Linked DNA regions of Macaca fascicularis. The protein of the gene in region 1 purifies or fractionates together with the protein of each later gene. This does not show direct contact. Links are inferred from orthologs where the notes say so. Each region holds a gene or a part of one and is shown on either strand. Other genes may lie near its edges.

The links. Proteins that work in one complex are often made in the same cells at the same time.
Region 2: the proteins of MEX3C (region 1) and AP2B1 purify together in Homo sapiens (affinity purification with mass spectrometry; 4 studies listed by BioGRID and IntAct, with this or other methods). This does not show direct contact. The link is inferred for Macaca fascicularis from reciprocal best matches to the Homo sapiens genes MEX3C and AP2B1.
Region 3: the proteins of MEX3C (region 1) and YWHAE purify together in Homo sapiens (affinity purification with mass spectrometry; 3 studies listed by BioGRID and IntAct, with this or other methods). This does not show direct contact. The link is inferred for Macaca fascicularis from reciprocal best matches to the Homo sapiens genes MEX3C and YWHAE.

What each region holds. Positions count from the first base shown.
Region 1 is NC_088392.1:38,552,025-38,558,803, forward strand, and holds the end of MEX3C (RNA-binding E3 ubiquitin-protein ligase MEX3C), read left to right. Parts: intron 1-1,003; coding exon 1,004-2,229; 3' UTR 2,230-4,030; downstream 4,031-6,779. UniProt on the Homo sapiens protein: E3 ubiquitin ligase responsible for the post-transcriptional regulation of common HLA-A allotypes. Binds to the 3' UTR of HLA-A2 mRNA, and regulates its levels by promoting mRNA decay.
Region 2 is NC_088390.1:41,926,049-41,933,075, forward strand, and holds part of AP2B1 (AP-2 complex subunit beta), read left to right. Parts: intron 1-1,609; coding exon 1,610-1,800; intron 1,801-3,837; coding exon 3,838-4,059; intron 4,060-4,593; coding exon 4,594-4,714; intron 4,715-4,839; coding exon 4,840-4,935; intron 4,936-7,027. UniProt on the Homo sapiens protein: Component of the adaptor protein complex 2 (AP-2). Adaptor protein complexes function in protein transport via transport vesicles in different membrane traffic pathways.
Region 3 is NC_088390.1:1,455,084-1,462,110, forward strand, and holds part of YWHAE (14-3-3 protein epsilon), read right to left. Parts: intron 3,169-7,027; coding exon 3,032-3,168; intron 1-3,031. UniProt on the Homo sapiens protein: Adapter protein implicated in the regulation of a large spectrum of both general and specialized signaling pathways. Binds to a large number of partners, usually by recognition of a phosphoserine or phosphothreonine motif.

The DNA of each region.
Region 1 (6,779 bases):
ACTAAGAATAGTATGATATATTCATGAGAACACATCTATCCTGGCAAGCTCAAGTTAGGGTCTTTGAAAAGTATAACCCCAGAGTTTTATGCCTTGATGTGTACTTGACATTTTAAGTTACAGTTTGAAACCCTCTAATCTTAACATAGTTGGCACTAGTAATCTCTGATTACTCAAAAAAAAAAAAAAAAAAAAAAAGGTGGTTAAAGTGGGGCATTATGTAAAGTTATACATATGTGTCTTAGATGTTTTATTTTAACTTAAATATACTTAGTATTTGTCAAGGCCTTTTGTTTCAAATTGTGTCTGTCAATCAGAGCAGTCCTTGAGTAAAACCATACCCAGCACCCACATTCCATACAATCTGCAGTATCTGTTTCTTTTAAATGGAGCAGGACTTTACAACGATTACAAAATCATTCTATGTTACTTTTTTTTATCCCAGCCCTTTATAGCTGTCTCACCTATTCATAATTCAATAGCAGCTTTTTTCTTTAAGATGCTCTTTAAGATACTCGTCTTTTTTGCATTGATGTTTCATTAGTTTATGCAATAATTCAGATAATTCAGTTACTAGCATGAGTACACCTAGCACAAACAACATGGGAATAAACAAAACTGAATCATAGCAGGCCTAGAATTTAACTGGTGGGAGCAGAAGTGAGATGACCTACTAGCCATGAGCACAGTGTTTTTGTCATCAATTGAGTTTTACAGAGGAAAGAGTAATGTTAAGTTAAAGTGATAAGATAATTAGGTAGAAGTCAGTTTAAGAACTTCTGTAAGATAATTGTGAAAATAGAGGTTCTTGGACTAGCAAAAAGACCATAGATTTTAGGTCAAACTAGGTTTACTTCTGGCTCTGCCACTTCCTAGCTTTGTGAAAAACTCTAAAACTTACCCATAACCAGATACTTAGCTTAAAAGGTGCATTCTGTGATTTGTCTTTATATATATCATTGAAGTACATGTTGATTCTTATGAAATGTTTTCTTTCTAACAGGTTGTAAAATTAAAGCACTGAGAGCCAAGACAAACACGTATATCAAGACTCCTGTTCGTGGTGAAGAGCCCATTTTTGTTGTCACTGGAAGGAAAGAAGATGTTGCCATGGCCAAAAGAGAGATCCTCTCAGCTGCAGAGCACTTCTCCATGATTCGTGCATCTCGAAACAAAAATGGGCCTGCCCTGGGAGGATTGTCATGTAGTCCTAATCTGCCCGGTCAAACCACCGTCCAAGTCAGGGTCCCTTATCGTGTGGTAGGATTAGTGGTTGGACCCAAAGGAGCAACTATTAAAAGAATTCAGCAGCAGACCCACACTTACATAGTAACTCCGAGCAGAGATAAGGAACCTGTCTTTGAAGTGACAGGGATGCCTGAAAATGTCGACCGAGCACGGGAAGAAATAGAAATGCATATTGCCATGCGTACAGGAAACTATATAGAGCTTAATGAAGAGAATGATTTCCATTACAATGGTACCGATGTAAGCTTTGAAGGTGGCACTCTTGGCTCTGCGTGGCTCTCCTCCAATCCTGTTCCTCCTAGCCGCGCGAGAATGATATCCAATTATCGAAATGATAGTTCCAGTTCTCTAGGAAGTGGCTCCACAGATTCCTACTTTGGAAGCAACAGGCTGGCTGACTTTAGTCCAACAAGCCCATTTAGTACAGGAAACTTCTGGTTTGGAGATACACTACCATCTGTAGGCTCAGAAGACCTTGCAGTTGACTCTCCTGCCTTTGACTCTTTACCAACATCTGCTCAAACTATCTGGACTCCATTTGAACCAGTTAACCCACTCTCTGGCTTTGGGAGTGATCCTTCTGGTAACATGAAGACTCAGCGCAGAGGAAGTCAGCCATCTACTCCTCGTCTGTCTCCTACATTTCCTGAGAGCATAGAACACCCACTTGCTCGGAGGGTTAGGAGCGACCCACCTAGTACAGGCAACCATGTTGGCCTTCCAATATACATCCCTGCTTTTTCTAATGGTACCAATAGTTACTCCTCTTCCAATGGTGGTTCCACCTCTAGCTCACCTCCAGAATCAAGACGAAAGCACGACTGTGTGATTTGCTTTGAGAATGAGGTTATTGCTGCCCTAGTTCCATGTGGCCACAACCTCTTCTGCATGGAATGTGCCAACAAGATCTGTGAAAAGAGAACGCCATCATGTCCAGTTTGCCAGACAGCTGTTACTCAGGCAATCCAAATTCACTCTTAACTATATATATATACATAAATACTATATCTCTATATGGACTCGTAAAGGCATGGGTATAATGGTACCCCCCAGTAAACTTCCTAATGATTTCTTATGACTGTTATCAGGCTTTATTGGGATTAGGCTAAAGTTGTTAGTAAACTTATAAAAGGCTGCTATGGTAACACTAAACCTAAGTGGTCTCTTGTCTATTAGTTTGGTTTGAATTATTAATACTATCCTGTAGACCCAGAGACATAGTTTATATAAGAATTGCTAAAGCTGAAGTTCAACTTGGCTGAGTGAAGATAATCATAGGTTGTGTGAGCCTATGAGAAAAGTGTATACGTCTAAGATTTCAAAACAGTGGGTCCCAAAGCCTAACCACTTTAAGAGTTTATGGAGGGTACTTGGCATTACAGACGATTCATACACTTCCAGTGCTGCCTTCTTTACACTGCCAGTTTTGACAAAACAGGTTTGTTTGTTTTTTATTTTACAACAACTTATGCCTAATTCTGCAGGATTGCAAGTAACTTTTTAATGCATTGTGATTACTTATTGGTAATAATAGGGCTGATGGCAGTTTACTAGATCACTGGTTATAATTTGGGACAAAAACTGCTACATCGACTTTCATCTCGCCCAGAGTTCTCAAGGCTGGTATGATCAGTGGATCAGGAATGCTGAATTCCTGCCCATTGCCTCTCTTGGTGAATGTGGAAATGGCCACCTTGGTTTTCCCATATCAGGAAGGGCTTTGGGATGGCACCTATATTGGCTAACAATTGAGGATGCGAACATTCCATTCATTAGTGTGCTCGAGCTGTTAGTTTTTAGACTATAGATCAAAATGTGAAACATTTTATGTTCAATCCATATTTGTCTTGCACATTATAAATATATTTTTATTTTTTAGTAATTTAGGGGAGGGAGGAAGGGGAAAGGGATAATGATGCCCTTGGCATAATTCATAAAAGCAGCTGTGACAACCTCCAATGAGTTTACTTCATTTCAAAAACTATTTCCAATCACAAGGAAAGATTTATTTAAAATACACTCGTACATTTCACCTGTGGATGTCTATAACTTCATCCTCAGTATGTTCCCAAATCTGTGCTGGCATTGAAAGGACAAAACATTATACTGGTGGGTTTTTCTACTAATTATTTTTTGAAGCATTATTTTCCCAACACAAAAGAGCTTTTTTCTCGGTATAATGAAAATTGAAATCCTATGTGTATTCAATAGTAAATAGACAAATTTTATTTTTTATTTCCACTTGAAGAGTTACATTTCTTATAAAAGTTTACAAATAACGGTTTTTATTTTGATTTTTTCAGTATAAAAAAAGTTGCCTTGATGGCATATTATGATGTAATGCTAATTGCTTGTAGGATAGTAAATGTCAGTATTGAAACCTAATCTCTAGCTGCCGTCTTGTAGATATGAACGAATGTTCACCAAGCATGTATTTTGTATTTTGTTGCATTGTACACTGCAACTAATAAGCCAAGGAATCGACATATATTAGGTGCGTGTACTGTTTCTAAAAACCACAAACTAAGAATGATAAATTATCAATATAGTTTAGTATTTGCTAATTTTACTACATTCTTTTGTTATGTATATGTAGGGAAGTCATAGGGATTATAAATTCAATTTGAGTAAAATTTAAAACCATATATTTTATGATAAAGGGCCTTTAACTTAAGATGGCCAAAGCACTGATATTATATATTTGCTGTAAAGAGAATTATAAGAGTTTTATTTTTCTGATATTAAAAGTTACTTAATAAAGACTTGTTTCCATTAACTTGAATGTATTCTCCTTGGTGTGTTTCATATAATCATCAGTTTATACTAGAAGATTAGTTAACAGAATTGAAAATTTTCTTTTATAGACTCCCTGTTCCCCAACCAGCTATCTCTGCTCACTCTTGTAGTTATTTTGTGTATGTGTGCTCTTGGTTTTGAGTGTGTCGCTTGTGTTCCTGTCCAAGTTTAGTTTTTTCTTTAAATGAGTGTTACATTACAGTAAATTGGAAATTTGGCTGGTTGTAGATTTAATTGCATATTTGTGTAGTTGACCACAAACCACTAGTGATCTAATTGTGAATAGTAAGTGACTTTCTTTTATACATCGCTACTTGAAATCCTGAATTCAACTTAAATTCTACTTGGTTTGCATCCTTTGTTTATGCATTTTTGTCTTCTTATCACCAAATCTGTAAAACAAGTTCTTTTCTAATACAAAAGCACCAGTTTACCTTTCAAGAAAAACTACCTTCTGAAAAGTTGACAGAAATATTTCTCCATTTATGAAATTGATTTGATACAGATTGAAGTAAATCATTGACTTTTTTTTTTTTTTTTTTTTTTTGAGACAGAGTCTCGCTCTGTTGCCCAGGCTGGAGTGCAGTGGCGCGATCTCAGCTCACTGCAAGCTCCGTCTCCCGGATTCACGCCATTCTCCTGCCTTAGCCTCCTGAGTAGCTGGGACTACAGGCGCCCGCCACCATGCCCGGCTAATTTTTTTTGTATTTTAGTAGAGACGGGGTTTCACTGTGTTAGCCAGGATGGTCTCGATCTCCTGACCTTGTGATCCGCCCGTCTCGGCCTCCCAAAGTGCTGGGATTACAGGCGTGAGCCACCGCGCCCGGCTGACATTGTTTTAAAAAGCAAGAATAAAGGCATTTCTAAGATAATTTTAAAGAAACTAAAATTCTATTCTTTTTTTTTTTTTTTTTTTTTTTTTTTGAGATGGAGTCTCGTTCTGTCACCCAGCCTGGAGTGCAGTAGCTCAATCTCGACTCACTGCAACCTCTGCCCCTCGGGTTCAAATCAGCCTCCCGAGTAGCTGGGATTACAGGCACACACCACCACGCCCAGCTAATAATTTTTGTATTTTTAGTAGAGATGGGGTTTCACCATGTTGGCCAGGCTGGTCTCAAATTCCTGACCCTAAGTGATCTGCCCACCTTGACCTCCCAAAGTGCTGGGACTACAGGCGCGAGCCACTGTGCCTTGCCTCTATTTATTCTTAATACTTAGACGTATCACATATCCATTCCAAGACTTCACTGTGGGTTTTGGACAAATTCTTAGGCTGTGGTAGACTTGCAAACATAGATTCAATGATGGGCAAGATCATCGTTCTAGAATTGTTGGGCAGAGTTACTTTGTCAACTTTAGGATTAGTCCCCGGAAGTATTAGTCTAATTACTCGGTTGTGTTACAGTATTTGTACAATTCCTGTTTAGATTGGATAACTTGTGAAATGAATTAACTTTTACCTAATGCTAGGTCAAAATCTTTCAGGGGGCCTTGAAAATAATCTCTATTTTAGAAGCTTTCCTTGTCCCAGAGTAAGCCAAAACTTGTCGGGAAGTAATGTTAGCAAAACTGATAAGCACTTACTCTGGTTCTAAGTCGGGATCTGCCTTTCCCTGTGTGCCTGTGTTAATTTTCTTGCTTACTGAAGTATTGGGGAAGAGAGACTTCAGGAAATCTGTGGGCCTGTGTTACAGGAAATAGCCATACCACACTGGATAATCTGCAATGTGAATAACCAAGAATTAGGCAAACCTATTGGGAGACCTTTACATTATTCCATTTTCACAACTGGAAAGGTGGATGCTAAACTGAAAACATTAGGTTTGGCTAGCTGCGCAAGTTATTGTAGTGTTCTATAATTCTTCCTATAAAAGACTTTATCAAAAGAATCCCATTGCAAAGTAGACTTTTAGCAAGAATGGAGGCTAGAATAATTAGGTTTAAAAAAACAGGTATAAAATAGGGGTATTAAATGTGTTTTTACAGATTGTTCAGTGAATCTGGTAGCCCAAAACCAGACACTGGTTCTCATTCTGCTACCTGCCCCTTCTATCCCTTAAATTTCTACTTTTCTCATTCTAAAACTTTTTATAAATAATGGGGATTGGGGGTGTTTATAATACACTGTGAACATCTTTTCCTTGTCAGTATACTTCTACAATGTAATTTAATGGTAGCAGTAATATTCTCTCTTCTGGCTATCCCATAACTTAACCATTTGCTCTTAGTGACTAATCGAAGTAACTATGGGCAGTGGAGCCCTGATGAAATATAGGGAAGGACATTGAGAAGCCTCAGGAGGAGATTCAATTTAGTAAAGATTTAAAATAGCTGTTCTCTTTAAAGTGGCATACCTTCCCCCTTGGGTACATCAGAGCAATTCTTCCTATTAAGTTTCTTCAGCTGATTATATGTAATAATTGAGAATTGTGAAAGAAATGTTCCCGCCATTGAGATTTTCTACTGCCTCCATACTCGTTTATCTACATTTTAAAGGATTGTGTTTGTACACCAGTACAAGAAAACTTCATAAGGAGGGTAAATGATGAGATATTTTAAATAGTAAATGGAGTTCACTGATCAGAGATTGGAATTGGGAGGGAAGATGGCTAAAGAGAAACCACACATTTCTAAGCCCTTGGGGTGAGTTTAGATCCTCATTAGTCTCAGGGAAAATGGGGATATTTGTAACTTGATTACTAAATGAGTTGTAAAAATAGACTTCCTGCTGCCTT
Region 2 (7,027 bases), on another chromosome or scaffold:
CACCATGTTGGCCAGGCTGGTCTCGAACTCCTAACCTAAGTGATCCACCCACCTCAGCCTTCCAAAGTGTTGGGATTACAGGCGTGAGCCACCACGCCCAGCCAACTTATACTTGGAGAGTATTTATATTCAGCCTCACTTTGCTAATCTTTAGTCAGCAACTGGGAGCCTCACTGCAAAACATGGTCTTAAGTTTACTTGTATAGGGCCACAATATATAGTATTTTGTATGTATGCATGGTTTTTTTTTTTTTTTAGTATGTTTGCAACTTTTAAATGATTTTAGATGTTCTTCCGTTGTAGATTTCTTAGAATTAATTTGTAATTTTGATAAAGTGTTGACTTTTCTTCCTGCAGCTAAATGGATTCCCAGATCTGTGAGTCAGGATACAAGTGTACTTTCTAGTGTAAGGTAGCAATTTTTCAGCCGGGCACGGTGGCTCACGCCTGTAATCCCATCACTTTGGGAGTCTGAGGCGGGCAGATCACCTAGGGTCAGGGGTTCAAGACCAGCCTGGCCAACATGGCAAAACCCCATTTCTACTAAAAATACAATAATTAGCTGGGCATGGTGGCGTGCACCTGTCGTCCCAGCTACGTGGGAGGCTGAGGTGGGAAAATCCCTTAAACCTAGTAGACGGAGGTTACGGTGAGCCGAGATACACCATCACACTTCAACCTGAGCAACAGAGCAAGACTGTCTCAAAAAAAAAAAAAACAGGGTAGCAATTTTTCATTTACCCTACCCAGAAAGAAGGATACATTTGAAATACTGTATTTCATTGAATCTTTAATGCCACTGATTATAAGATGTATTATTATTTTCTGTATTACTAAGAAAGAAAAATGCTTCCTATTGAACTGACAGGCCATTGATTATAAAATGCGACCCAGTTTCAAAGATGTTAATGTGAAAAACTATAGCTTACACTTGATGAATTATGGTAATATAACCAACCACCTTAAATTTACATAAGACTTTGTAGAAAGCACTTATACATATGTCATCTGGTTTTATCCTCAAACTGAAACTAATCTGTGAGGTGGACTAAATTATCTCATTTTCAGATGGAAAAACTGAGTTTCACAGAGATTACATATTCTCTCAGCATTGTATACTAGTGAACTAGGGTCTCAGGCCCACATATTCTTACTCTAAGACTTGTGGCATGATTGATGGTGTCACCTCCCCCAAACCCATACAGCTACACAACTATACAATTATTTGGCCTAAATTTTTCTCTCTGTTGCCTAATGTACGTATTTCATATTTAGACTTCGCCCTTTTTCATATGCTGTTCACATGTCTTGATTTTGAAAGTTTTGAGTGCCGTTAACATGGTTAATGTATGTTTTACTATTAAATAATGTGTGACTCTGCTAATATATGAATTGTTTTAATTCAGGGTTGCCTTATCACTATATATAATATCATTGGTGGTTTAATATATGTTTTGAAGTGGTTTATTTGTTTCTATCTGACTAGGTAAAATGTTCAGGAATGGTTATGAATTGAGATCCGTGAAGTGATCCAGAGAAGGCTGATTAAGTGTTTGTCTGTAGCTGTACTGTTCTTGGTGAATCAAGGTCATATCCCCTTCTTTTCCAGGTGGTGGCTAATGCCGTAGCAGCATTATCTGAAATCAGTGAGTCTCACCCAAACAGCAACTTACTTGATCTGAACCCGCAGAACATTAATAAGCTGCTGACAGCCCTAAATGAGTGCACTGAATGGGGCCAGATTTTCATCCTGGACTGCCTGTCTAATTACAACCCTAAAGATGATCGGGAGGCTCAGAGGTCAGTCTGTTTTCCTGGCTACTTTCTGATAGTCTTGCCTGATTCTATAAGTTCTAGAGTCTGGTATTAGAATAAATCAGTTGAGGAAGGTCAGTGGCTTCTAGGGTAGATGTTGCTATCTCCAAGGTATTTTCTCATTGGATTTAGGAATATTTTAGGTGGTGGAATAAACTATGCAAAACTGTTTCTAAGAAATGTATGTTTTTCATACAGTTACTTCTGCTAAAATCTTTCTTATTGTCTTACATCTCCCATGCAACAGTTCTTGGCCATTTGGCCAGCAAAGATTATTGAGTATCTCTCTTTGGAGTGACAGATTTGTCATTCTATTAGATACATAGAAAGTAGCTTCATATTAGTTATCGAGCTGACCTGTATGTATAATTCAGTATGAGAGAGAGTATGTTAAAGTCAGCAAAATATATCCTGCTTTCCATTAGATATGGAAACCATGTCAGTCTGAATTTGAAGATTTTAGAAGGCACACCTAGATTGTTCTGCTCAGCCTGTTACCATGTAATGTTGCAAATTTTCTTTAGTTATTAGAAATTGACTACTAAATTTCATCTACACATACATACATTTTAGTTTACAAAGTTGGAATTATCTCTAATTTTTATTGAGCATTTTGTATATGCAGGCACTGTACTAGGCAAAGTACTTCTGAAGAAATGTTGACTCTTCATTAAAGTTGGTATATTTTAATTATGGTAGATAAGAACTGGTCTGGCTGAAGCTGATTTCCAAGCTACTAGAATGTAAGTGATCTTCACTTATCTGGGAAATAGTCCCTCTAGACTGAACTAAAGCTCACTCTGATAGTTTCTTTCCATCATTGAAAGTACAAATACAGTCTGGAAATTACTGAGAATTACTGTTTTCTTCTGTTGGCCATTGACATCACATTCATTCATTCACTCAGCAAATATTTATTAAGCGCATACTATGTGCTAGGCAGTGTTCCTAGGCCCTGAGGATACAACAGTGAACAAAGTCATGGCCCTCTGGGATCACTTATTTGAAGGTTGGGGGTAGGAATATATAACATGTATAGATAGTATAATATATTATATGTATAGATAGTTTAATATGTAATATGTGAGATGGTGATAAGTACTAACAAGAAAGTAAAGTAGAGAGTGCCGTTATCTAAGAAATCTAAGAAATGCTGGACATTTGGGGGTGGGGGGTTGTATTTTATTTTTAAAAGATGGCCAGGGAAGGCCTCACTGAGAAGGTGGCATTTGTATAAAGACCCAAAGGAAGTCAGGAATAGGAGGAAGAGAGAAACACCGCCTATTTATCTTGTTTCTTTAATACAGTAAGTTAGCTACTCGTGTTGCCCAAGCTATCAAAATTGGATTAATTTCTAAAGAACCCTCAACAGATAATTAAATATCTACCATTTTATGAGTCATGTAAGTGTAGGTGGCAGGGGCTGGGAGAGCAGGGAGATGGGAAAATATAGTAGTGGTGTCCTGCTATTTAAAAAACAAACCCTTTTCAGAGAGTCCCTTATTCTCATTATCCTCAAGACAGGAGATTGGATTGTTTTCCCTACCAACCTGCCTCCTTCTGTATCTTACAATGAAATCTTCAGCCATAACTGGGTTGCTGGCACTTCCTATGAAATAACTCTCAGAATGCTTAATTTGACTTCCTATAGGTTGAGTAGAAATGGGCTGAGAGGCAGGGAGCCCTAACATAATATGGGGAGACAAAGAGGACTATAAAACAAGAAGGTAAATGGTGTGAGCTCAAGTGTCTTGGGTAATGCTAGTTTCTTTCCAGTTTGAACATCCCTTATTGCTGGTTTTCTGAAGTCTTCTGATGTCCCTGCTCTGCCTGTAGTTTGCTGAGAATGAGGCTTCTGCATTGTCAGATCCCAGTTTTACCTAAGCATAGAGCTTTGACTTTTCTAACTAATTCTTGAATTTTTTGATACTTGGGTCATTAGACTCTGACATATTACCTTATAGAATGAATTCAGCAAAGAAATTATAATTCATGATATTAATTTTCATTCTTTGCCCTCAGCATATGTGAGCGGGTAACTCCCCGGCTATCCCATGCCAACTCAGCAGTGGTGCTTTCAGCAGTAAAAGTCCTAATGAAGTTTCTAGAATTGTTACCTAAGGATTCTGACTACTACAATATGCTGCTGAAGAAATTAGCCCCTCCACTTGTCACTTTGCTGTCTGGGGAGCCAGAAGTGCAGTATGTCGCCCTGAGGAACATCAACTTAATTGTCCAGAAAAGGTTGGAAAATAGTGAAGTGTTGATTAAAGTCTTTGTGATTTTGCATTAAGCTTAATAATGTTAATGTTAATTAGGCTAGTGTTAATCTCTTTTTAATATATGGAAATGAAAATGTTATATGGCAGAACAACTTGCTTGCCTAGCACCAGGAGGCTAACAGTTGATATCACAGTATTTCTATAATAAATGCCATGTGTTGCTGCACAGTCCAGTTTGTTTTCTGAAGGGTCTCTTTCTGATACACTGTCTAGTGCCTGGTTGATATGGTTCACGTTGTAGTTTAGAGCCAGATTGTTGTTCTTTTAGCAGTACTTCATGGCAACGTGTGCCCTGATGCTTAAAAAGGATAAAAATAATCTGCCAAGTGGAACTGATAAGAATAGAGGCATATAGAGGAAGTTTATGCATTTTTTTTTTTTTCCTGAGTGGAGCGAGAGGAGAGCAGAGAGGCACAGATTAGGTATTAATACAGTCTCAGAAGGGTGTATCAGTATATGCCTTCACCTTCCTTTCTTCTGTTTCTGTGTACCCTAGGCCTGAAATCTTGAAGCAGGAAATCAAAGTCTTCTTTGTGAAGTACAATGATCCCATCTATGTTAAACTAGAGAAGTTGGACATCATGATTCGTTTGGCATCTCAAGCCAACATTGCTCAGGTCAGACTTTATGCAGACTCAAGTTGATAATGATTTAGCTCTTAAGGTCTGGCCTTTAAAGAAGCTAGGCTGTGAGATTGCTATTTGAGAATCCTTAATGATTAACCACTTCCTCCATTTAACAGGTTCTGGCAGAACTGAAGGAATATGCCACAGAGGTAGATGTTGACTTTGTTCGAAAAGCTGTGCGGGCCATTGGACGGTGTGCCATCAAGGTGGAGGCAAGTGTCTGATGGTAGTTAGGATCATGTATTGGGGATTCTGAGAGTTCTCTTCACTTTTTTCTTTAAAATAATTTTTAAATTTATCAAACTAATAAAGCACACCATTTAAATGTTAAATAATTTTTGATGGAAAGCAGCTGTCTCTGGTCCCTCCCTTCCCTACCTAGACTCTCTTCTCAGAGGGAATAATTTTTTTTTTTTTTTTTTTTTTTTTTGAGACGGAGTCTCGCTGTGTCGCCCAGGCTGGAGTGCAGTGGTGCGATCTCGGCTCACTGCAAGCTCCGCCTCCCGGGTTCACGCCATTCTCCTGCCTCAGCCTCCCAAGTAGCTGGAACTAGAGGCGCCCACCACTACGCCTGGCTAATTTTTTGTATTTTTAGTAGAGACAGGGTTTCACTATATTAGCCAGGATGGTCTTGATCTCCTGACCTCGTGATCCGCCCGTCTCAGCCTCCCAAAGTGCTGGGATTACAGGCCTGAGCCACCATGCCCAGCCTAACCAGTACTTTATAGCAACAAAAGGAGGCAGATGTGTGTCAGAGGATCTTCTATGAAATACCTGCTACTAATTGGCCTTCTTTGTTTTTTTCAATTTAGTACTGCTTTATGTAGTTTCTGTTGATAAATCATTTGGTAGACTGGCTGTTACAGCAAGAAGTTAGCTGATCCTGGATTCTATTCCTGGTTCTGCTAGCTCACTTGATTCAGATGTTTAATATGTTTGTTTCTCTTCATTGGAGAAATGGGAAGGTCTTTTTATTGGATCTTGATACGTTACATCTTTTTTATTACCACTATCACCACACATCACAACTTGTTTTTCTTTTCTTTTTACATTAACATATCTTACTAGCCGTGTACTTAGTATTAATATAGATAATTTTCAGAGAGATTTTGGTAGCCTAAGAGTAAGGTGGTTTTGTTCTCTTCACTAGTGTACATAGCCATCTCTTCTGTGAGACTGCCATTGTCTTATGACCTCTCTGACAAAGCTATAAACAGTAATACAAAAATTATATCTTATTCTGAAGTTAAGAGACTTTCTAGCCCTGGAATTACTAGAAAGTGTTCTCAAAGCATCTAGATTCCTCAAGACTGTTAGTCATGTATTGTGACTAATGGAAAGGTTCTCCATAGTCTTCTGGAAAAGACTTCTGATGACTTTCACTTCTTCCTTTGACTAAGCGTGCTTTGGTGGGAGTATGACAGGATGTGAGGAATGAGCTTTCTCAGGACACTTAAGGTCACCCTTCAGGAATCCTGTCTTATCTAGTGCTCTCATCTCAGATTACCCGGATTTACCTTAGAACTTTTCCTATAACTGTTTCAGCCATGAAGATTTTCAGTTTGGTTTCAGTTTGACAGAGTTGCCAAGCCAAACAGTTAATTGGGCCAGGAGAGGCCATGATTGCCTGTTTGCACTGACTCATCCATGGGACAAGAATCAGCAGCATAAGAATTGTAATGAACTTTCTGTATAGCTTTGGGAAGCAACAAGCTGTTGAGCAAATAAATAGCACTGAAAAAGCAATCCTATAGTACTATTTTTTGTTCAGTAACTTTTGCCTATTTCTTTCAGGGGTAAACATACTCCTGGTCCTTTTCAGTTTTAAAAAGGGTAGAGGTAAAGGCATTAGGTTAAGAGCAGGAGTTCTTCACTTCCTAGTCTTCTGTTTTTTTTGTGTGTTTACTATTTCTAATTTTTATATATTAGAATAAAATACTGGTTTGTGTGTCATTCTTAAAGACAAAAAATATATTTTTCCTATTAGGAAAACCATATTTGTTTACTATATAAAATTATAGAACAAGTTAAACAAAAAATAGAGTACCCCACCTCCCACGTCTTCTGTTTCACCTTCTCAGATATGCAGTGGACGTGATCTGGTAGACGTCATTTTATATCCTTGTTTATATAGTGTTCTATACAAAGATGTATTTTTTAATAAAAATGAAATCATTCCACAAATGCTATTTATTTACTTTGTTTTATACTCTACTTTTTTTTTTTTTTGGCATGCTCTATCATGGACATTGATCCAAGTTATAAAGAAAAATTTATGTCATCTTTAGTTTCTATAGACATAAT
Region 3 (7,027 bases), on another chromosome or scaffold:
AGAGACGGGGTTTCTCCATGTTGGTCAGGCTGATCTCGAACTCCCGACTTCAGGTGATCCGTCCACTTCGGCCTCCCAAAGTGCTGGGATTACAGGCATGAGCTACTGTGCTTGGCAATGTTTTTATTTAAAAAAAAAATAATAATGAAAATGGCCAGGCACGGTGGCTCACAGGGAGACTCCCCATCACAAAACAAACCAAAACAAACCAAAAAATGAGCCGGGCGCGCTGGCTCACACCTGTAATCCCAGCGCTTTGGGAGGCCGAGATGGGTAGATCACGAGGTCAGGAGTTTGAGACCAGCCTGGCCAACATAACATAGTAAAACCCTGTCTCTATTAAAAATACAAAAAATTAGCTAGGCGTGGTGGCGGACACCTGCAGTCCCAGCTACTAGGGAGGATGAGGCAGAAGAATCACTTGAACCTGGGAGGCAGAGGATGCAGTGAGCTGAGACAGCACCACTGCACTCTGGCCTAGGCAACAAAAGCAAAATTCCGTCTCAAAAATAAATAAATAAATAAAAATAAACAAATAAATAATAAAATACACATACACACACACACACATTCAAGTCAAGTCACCTTTATTACTTTTTATTACTTTTACTCTCAAACACCCATCCCCAGGGGTGAGAGGGTATCATTTCCTCAAGTCAATCCCGCTTCCCAAACTCTCCACGTGCTTTCCCTCCATCAACAGGCAGAGAGATGCTAGTATCTGAGCTGGGGATGACTGTTAGGAGTCCACAGCTGTTTGGCCATTCTTCTTCATAGTTGTTAAAACAATTTTTTTCCCTTAAGAGATGGCACCTCATTCAGTCATCCAAGTTAGAATGCAGTGGCGCAATCAAGGCTCACTACAGCCTCAAGATCCCCCAACCTCACTGGAGTTTTTTTTTTTTTTTTTTGAGATAAAGTCTTGCTCTATGAAGCCTCGCTCTGTCTCCCAGGCCAGAGTGCAGTGGCGTGATCTCAGCTCACCGCAACCTCCACCTCCTGTGTTCAAGCAATGCTCCTGCCTCAGCCTCCCAAGTAGCTGGGGTTACAGGCACATAGCACTGCGCCCGGCCTTTTTTTTCTTTTCTTTTTTTTAAAGACAGGGTCTTACTATGTTGCCCAGGCTGGTCTTGAACTCCTAGGCTCAGGCATCATCCCACCTTGGCCTCCCAAGTCCTGGGATTACAGACATGAGCCACCGCAACCAGAGTGGGATAGATTTTCAAGCTGGAAGCCACTTGTTCAGAGTTGGTAAATTGTTTCTGAGTTCCAAGGACTGGGAGTAGCAGCCTGAAATGCTGCGCTGGGAAGTGGTCCGTGGCTCCATCTGGCACTATTGCAAGCGTGTAAGTAAGTCCTATGTATATGAGTATCTCATGCCAATCCCGATCTAGTCAAATCCTAAACATTTCCTAGAGCTAGGAAGCATTAAAAGCTGAGTCTCACTTTAGTACCATAACCCAAAAGTCACAAATCTGATTTGATCCTTTCAGAGAAAAGACACATACGTGCCCACTTTCAGAAGCGTTTTCAAAAAGTGTAACACTTCCAAAGACAATACAGCAGGTCGATTTCCCCAACAGACACTACAGATAGCCTCAAGCAACGCGACATATGTTTCAGTCTAAGAAACTTTTTTTTTTTTTTTTTTTTTGAGATGGAGTCTCCCCTCTGTCACCCAGGCTGGAGTGCAATGGCACGATCTCAGTTAATTGCAACCTCCGCCTCCTGGGTTTAAGCAATTCTCCAGCCTCAGCCTCCTGAGTAGCTGGGACTGACTACAGGCGCCCGCCAACACACCTGTTCTATTTTTAGTAGAGACAGGGGTTTCACTGTGTTGGCCAGGATGATCTCGATCTCCTGACCTCGTGATCCGCCGGTCTCGGCCTCCCAAAGTGCTGGGATTCCAGGCCTGAGCCTCCGCGCCCAGCCCAGCTTAAGAAACATGCTTAAAGGAATCGCAGCTAAAACTGACAACAGACTTTGTTTCCAACCTCCTACCAGCACCAGCACCACCAAATGTAAAACTATCTTGTAATGTAATGCTCATATCACACTAATTTGTCTTCTTCTCCACCCCTGTTCAACAATCTACCATGGATAATAATGATTCTCTAGAGAGAGAGAATTAAACTTCCTTTAAAATCAACAAACGTTAACAAATTTGGGCTTCTGTATTTAAAGTAAACATTCACACACACTCACCATCACAATTAAGTTTAGTAAAATACTCTAGCTAAATTGTTTGCAATGAAAACCTCTTAAAAGTAACAACAGCCGGGCACAGTGGCTCACGCCTGTAATCCCAGCACTTTGAGAGGCTGAAGCGGGCGGAACACCTGTGGTCAGGAGTTCAAGACCAGCCTGACCAACATGACGAAATCCCGTCTCTACTAAAAATACAAAAATTAGGTGGACATGATAGCGGGTGCCTGTAACCCCAGTTACTCCGGAAGGCTGAGGCAGGAGAATCGCTTGAACCTGGGAGGCAGAGCTTGCAGTGAGCCGAGATTATGCTACTGCACTCCAGCCGGGGTGTTGCAGCGAGACTCCATCTCAAAAAAAAAAAAAAAAAAAAAGAAAAGAAAAAAAAAAGACCCAAGGGCCAACATACAATTTCTCTGCTGAACCCCAGAGGTAAATGGGAAATTAGTTCCCTTTTAGATAAAAAATTTCAACAAAGAGAAAAACTTCATAAATACCTATTGATACCATCTGGATTTAAATACAGTTAACTTCAGCCCCCTAAAATTGAATCTGGACGAAGATAAAATAAACTACTTGCTTTCCACTTTTCCTTTCCTCAACCTTTGAAACAGTGTAAAGGCAGACTTAAACTAAGTTCCCCAAAATGGAACTCAGTACTTTAGCACCATTTCCTATAAAGGCAATAATTAAAATTTCATAGAGAGCAGGCAGTGAGTCTAAATTGTAGCTTGATGTAAAGATATGCCAAGGAATGTCTACAGAGAGTAAAAACAAATCCTGCAACTGAAAGAGGTGCCTCTTTTACTTCCTAGTGTTTGCTTACCATCACCCTGCATGTCTGAAGTCCATAGTGTCAGATTATCACGTAACAACTGCATGATAAGTGTAGAGTCCTTATAGCTTTCTTCACTCAGCGTATCCAGTTCTGCAATTGCATCATCGAAAGCTGCTTTTGCCAACCTAAAGGTATTTAAATAAATGTATTATAAAAATTAAATCCAAAATCAGAATTAGAAAAGACATGCTAGACATCAATCTCTTCTTCAGTTATTCCAGTGTGTAATAGTGACAATGATACAAAGAAAAAGCAAATACAATAAAAATTAACTTAAAGGTATGTGGAGCACTACTATTTTTTCTTTTTTTGAGATGGAGTCTTGCTCTGTCGCCCAGGCTGGAGTGCAGTGGCGCGATCTGCAGAGGCGCGGCCTCCCAAAGTGCTGGGATTACAGGAGTGAGCCGCCGTGCCCGGCCAATTTTTTTTTTTTTTTTTTTTTTTTTTTTTTTTTTTTTTTTTTTTTTTGAGACGGAGTCTCGCTCTGTCACCCAGGCTGGAGTGCAGTGGCCGGATCTCAGCTCACTGCAAGCTCCGCCTCCCGGGTTCACGCCATTCTCCTGCCTCAGCCTCCCGAGTAGCTGGGACTACAGGCGCCCGCCGCCTCGCCCGGCTAGTTTTTTGTATTTTTTAGTAGAGACGGGGTTTCACTGTGTTAGCCAGGATGGTCTCGATCTCCTGACCTCGTGATCCGCCGGTCTCGGCCTCCCAAAGTGCTGGGATTACAGGCTTGAGCCACCGCGCCCGGCCCCAAGTTTTTTTTTTTTAAGAGATTCGTTATGTTGCCCAGGCTGGACCTGAACTCCTGCGTTCAAGCAATCTTCCCACCTTAGCCTCTTGAGTGGCTGGGACCAATGGTACAACCCCCCCCCCCCAGATATTTAACAAAGTATTAATGCAAAAAGAAAATATTGGACAATACCTCAAAGTTTAATAAAATTTAATTTCACATTAATGGAGGCAGGGAAGCAAAGAAAATAAAAGGCAACACAGAAGCCACGGAAATGTGGTCATGTAAGCCTTTTACAGTTTTTTTTTTTTTTTTTTTTTTTTTTGAGACGGAGTCTCGCTCTGTCGCCCAGGCTGGAGTGCAGTGGCGCGATCTCGGCTCACTGCAAGCTCCGCCTCCTGGGTTTACGCCATTCTCCTGCCTCAGCCTCCCGAGTAGCTGGGACTACAGGCGCCCGCCACCGCGCCCGGCTAATTTTTTGTATTTTTAGTAGAGACGGGGTTTCACCGTGGTCTCGATCTCCTGACCTTGTGATCCGCCCGCCTCGGCCTCCCAAAGTGCTGGGATTACAGGCGTGAGCCACCGCGCCCGGCCTGCCTTTTACAGTTTTAAAAGAAAATCCACACCTACTGAATACTGTGTACTATGCCCAAGAAATGATACCAGATACCAATAGAAAAAAAAAAGAGAGACATAATCTAAGTCCACAATCACCTTAAAACTTTAGAAATGGAGGATGGACAAATGTGTAACTATTTTAAAAGAAGGAGGAGGCTGGGTGTGGTGGCTCACGCCTGTAATCAGCACACTTTGGGTGGCCAATGCGCGTGGGCAGATCACTTGAGGCCAGGAGTTCAAGACCAGCCGGGCCACCATGGCAAAACCTATTAAAAACACAAAAAATTAGCCAAGTATGGTGGTGTATGTCTACAGTCCCAGCTACTCAGGAGGCTGAGGCAGGAGAATTGCTTGAACCCGGGAGGCGGAGGTTGCAGTGAGCTGAAATTGTGCCACTGCACTCCAGCCTGGACAAAAAGAACCAAAAAAAAAAAAAAAAGAAGACGACGAAGACTCAAGTGCTACTCTAAATAAAGTATCTCAGGGACCCAGGAGGAGCAATTAATGGGAAGGTCAAATTTGAGCTAACCTTAATGGATCAGGAGAAAGCAAAAAGAACACACTTCAAGTTTAAGCAAAAGCATGAGCAAAGGCATGGAAGTGACTTAAAACTGGAGCTACACGTGGGACAGCTAGACTGGAGTCTGACAAGGAAAGGTGCAACCACCAGTATCAGTTAAACAGCCAAAGCTTCTTCAGTTATGACCCCTATCCTGGACAAACTCAACTAGCCATTTAGAATATTTTTAGATTGGCTGAGTGCAGTGGCTCACGCCTGTAATCCCAGCACTCTGGGAGGCTGAGGTGGGTGGATCACCTGAGGTCAGGAGTTCGAGACCAGCTTGACCAATATGGTGAAATCCCGTCTCTACTAAAAATGCAAAAAAAAAAAATCAGTCGAGCACAGTGAAGCATGCCTGTAATAGTCAACGTTAAAGTTCTAATGTATCAGTTAATCTACTTTCCTCAATCTCTGAAAGGCTTTCACTTAAAAAATCTACTTGGCTTAAGCAGTGGTCCTCGACAAACCAAAAAAAAAAACACACAAAAAGCAGAAGAGGCCGGGCATGGTGGCTCACGTCTGTAATCCCAGCACTTTGGGAGGTCAAGGCAGGCAGATCACGAGATCAGGAGATCAAGACCATCCAGGCTAACACGGTGAAACCCCGTCTCTACTGAAAATATTAAAAAATTAGCCAGGCTTGGTGGCAGGTGCCTGTAGTTCCAGCCACTCGGGAGGCTGAGGCAGGAGAATGGCGTGAACCCAGGAGGCGGAGCTTGCAGTGAGCCGAGATCGCGCCACTGCACTCCAGCCTGGACAACAGAGCAAGACTTCATCGGAAAAAAAAAGCAAAAAACAACCATTTTGCTACTGCAATATTTACTGTAAAAATTTAAAAGAGGCCGGGTGCAGTGGCTCACGCCTGTAATCTCAGTACTTGGGGAGGCTGAGGTGACCGGATCACTTAAGGTGAGGTCAAGACTAGCCTGGCCAACATGGTGAAACCCCGTCTCTACATAAAAATACAAAAATCAGCCGGGTATGGTGGTGGGCATCTATAATCCCAGATACTTGGGAGGCTGAGGCAGGAGAATCGCTTGAAACCGGGAGGCAGAGATTGCAGTGAGCCAAGATTGTGCCACTGCACTCCAGCCTGGGCAACAGTGACAGGCTCTGCTTCAAAAAAAACAAAAAAAACAACAACAAAAAAACAAAACAAACAAAAAACAAAGGAAAAGAAAAGGCCAGGCATGGTGGCATCCTCCTCTAGTGACAGCTACTTGGGAGGCTCATACGCGGATCAGCTGAGCTCAGGAAGCCATGGCTGCAGTGAGCTATGAGTGCACAACTGCAGAGACGGAACAAGATCCTGTCTGGGGAAAAAAAAAAAGGTACACACAGAATTTTCAGTCCCAATTCCACCTCAAGGTGAAGTTAAATACAAGGACTGAAGCAAATACTTAATGCATCCATGTTCACAGCAGCACTGTACTCACCACAGAAAAAGGGTGGAAAGATACCCACTGACCACTCAAAGTTTAATGACTAAACAATGTGTCAAAACACGTAAAATGAATTGTCTGAATTCAGTCACGGAAAGGACTGAAGCTCTGATTGATGCTTTTACATGGATAAAAACATGATGCTAGATGAAATAAAAACAGCCACAAAAGGACAAATATTATATAATCCCACTTACATGAGGTATCTAGAATGGGCGCAAAATTCATAATGACAAAGTAAAATAAAAGTTACTAGCAGGTGGGCAGAGGGGAAATGAAGTTATTGTTTGTTTAATGGCTGTAATTTGCTTTGTGTGGGGTGAAGAGAAAGTTTTCAAATAAATAGTGGTGATTACACAACACTGTCAAGGTATTTGGTGCCACTAAATTGTGTGTGTGTGTGCGCGCGCGTGTGTATTTTTTGAAACAAAGTCTTGCTTTGTCGCCCAGGCTAGAGTGTACTGGTGTAATCAAGGCTCACTGCAACCTCTGCCTTCTGGGTTCAAACGATTCTCCTGTCTCAGCCTCCCGAGTAGCTGGGATTACAGGCATGCACCACCATACCCGGCTAATTTTGTATTCTTAGTAGAGACAGAGTTTTGCCATATTGGTCAGGTTGGTTTCGAACTCCT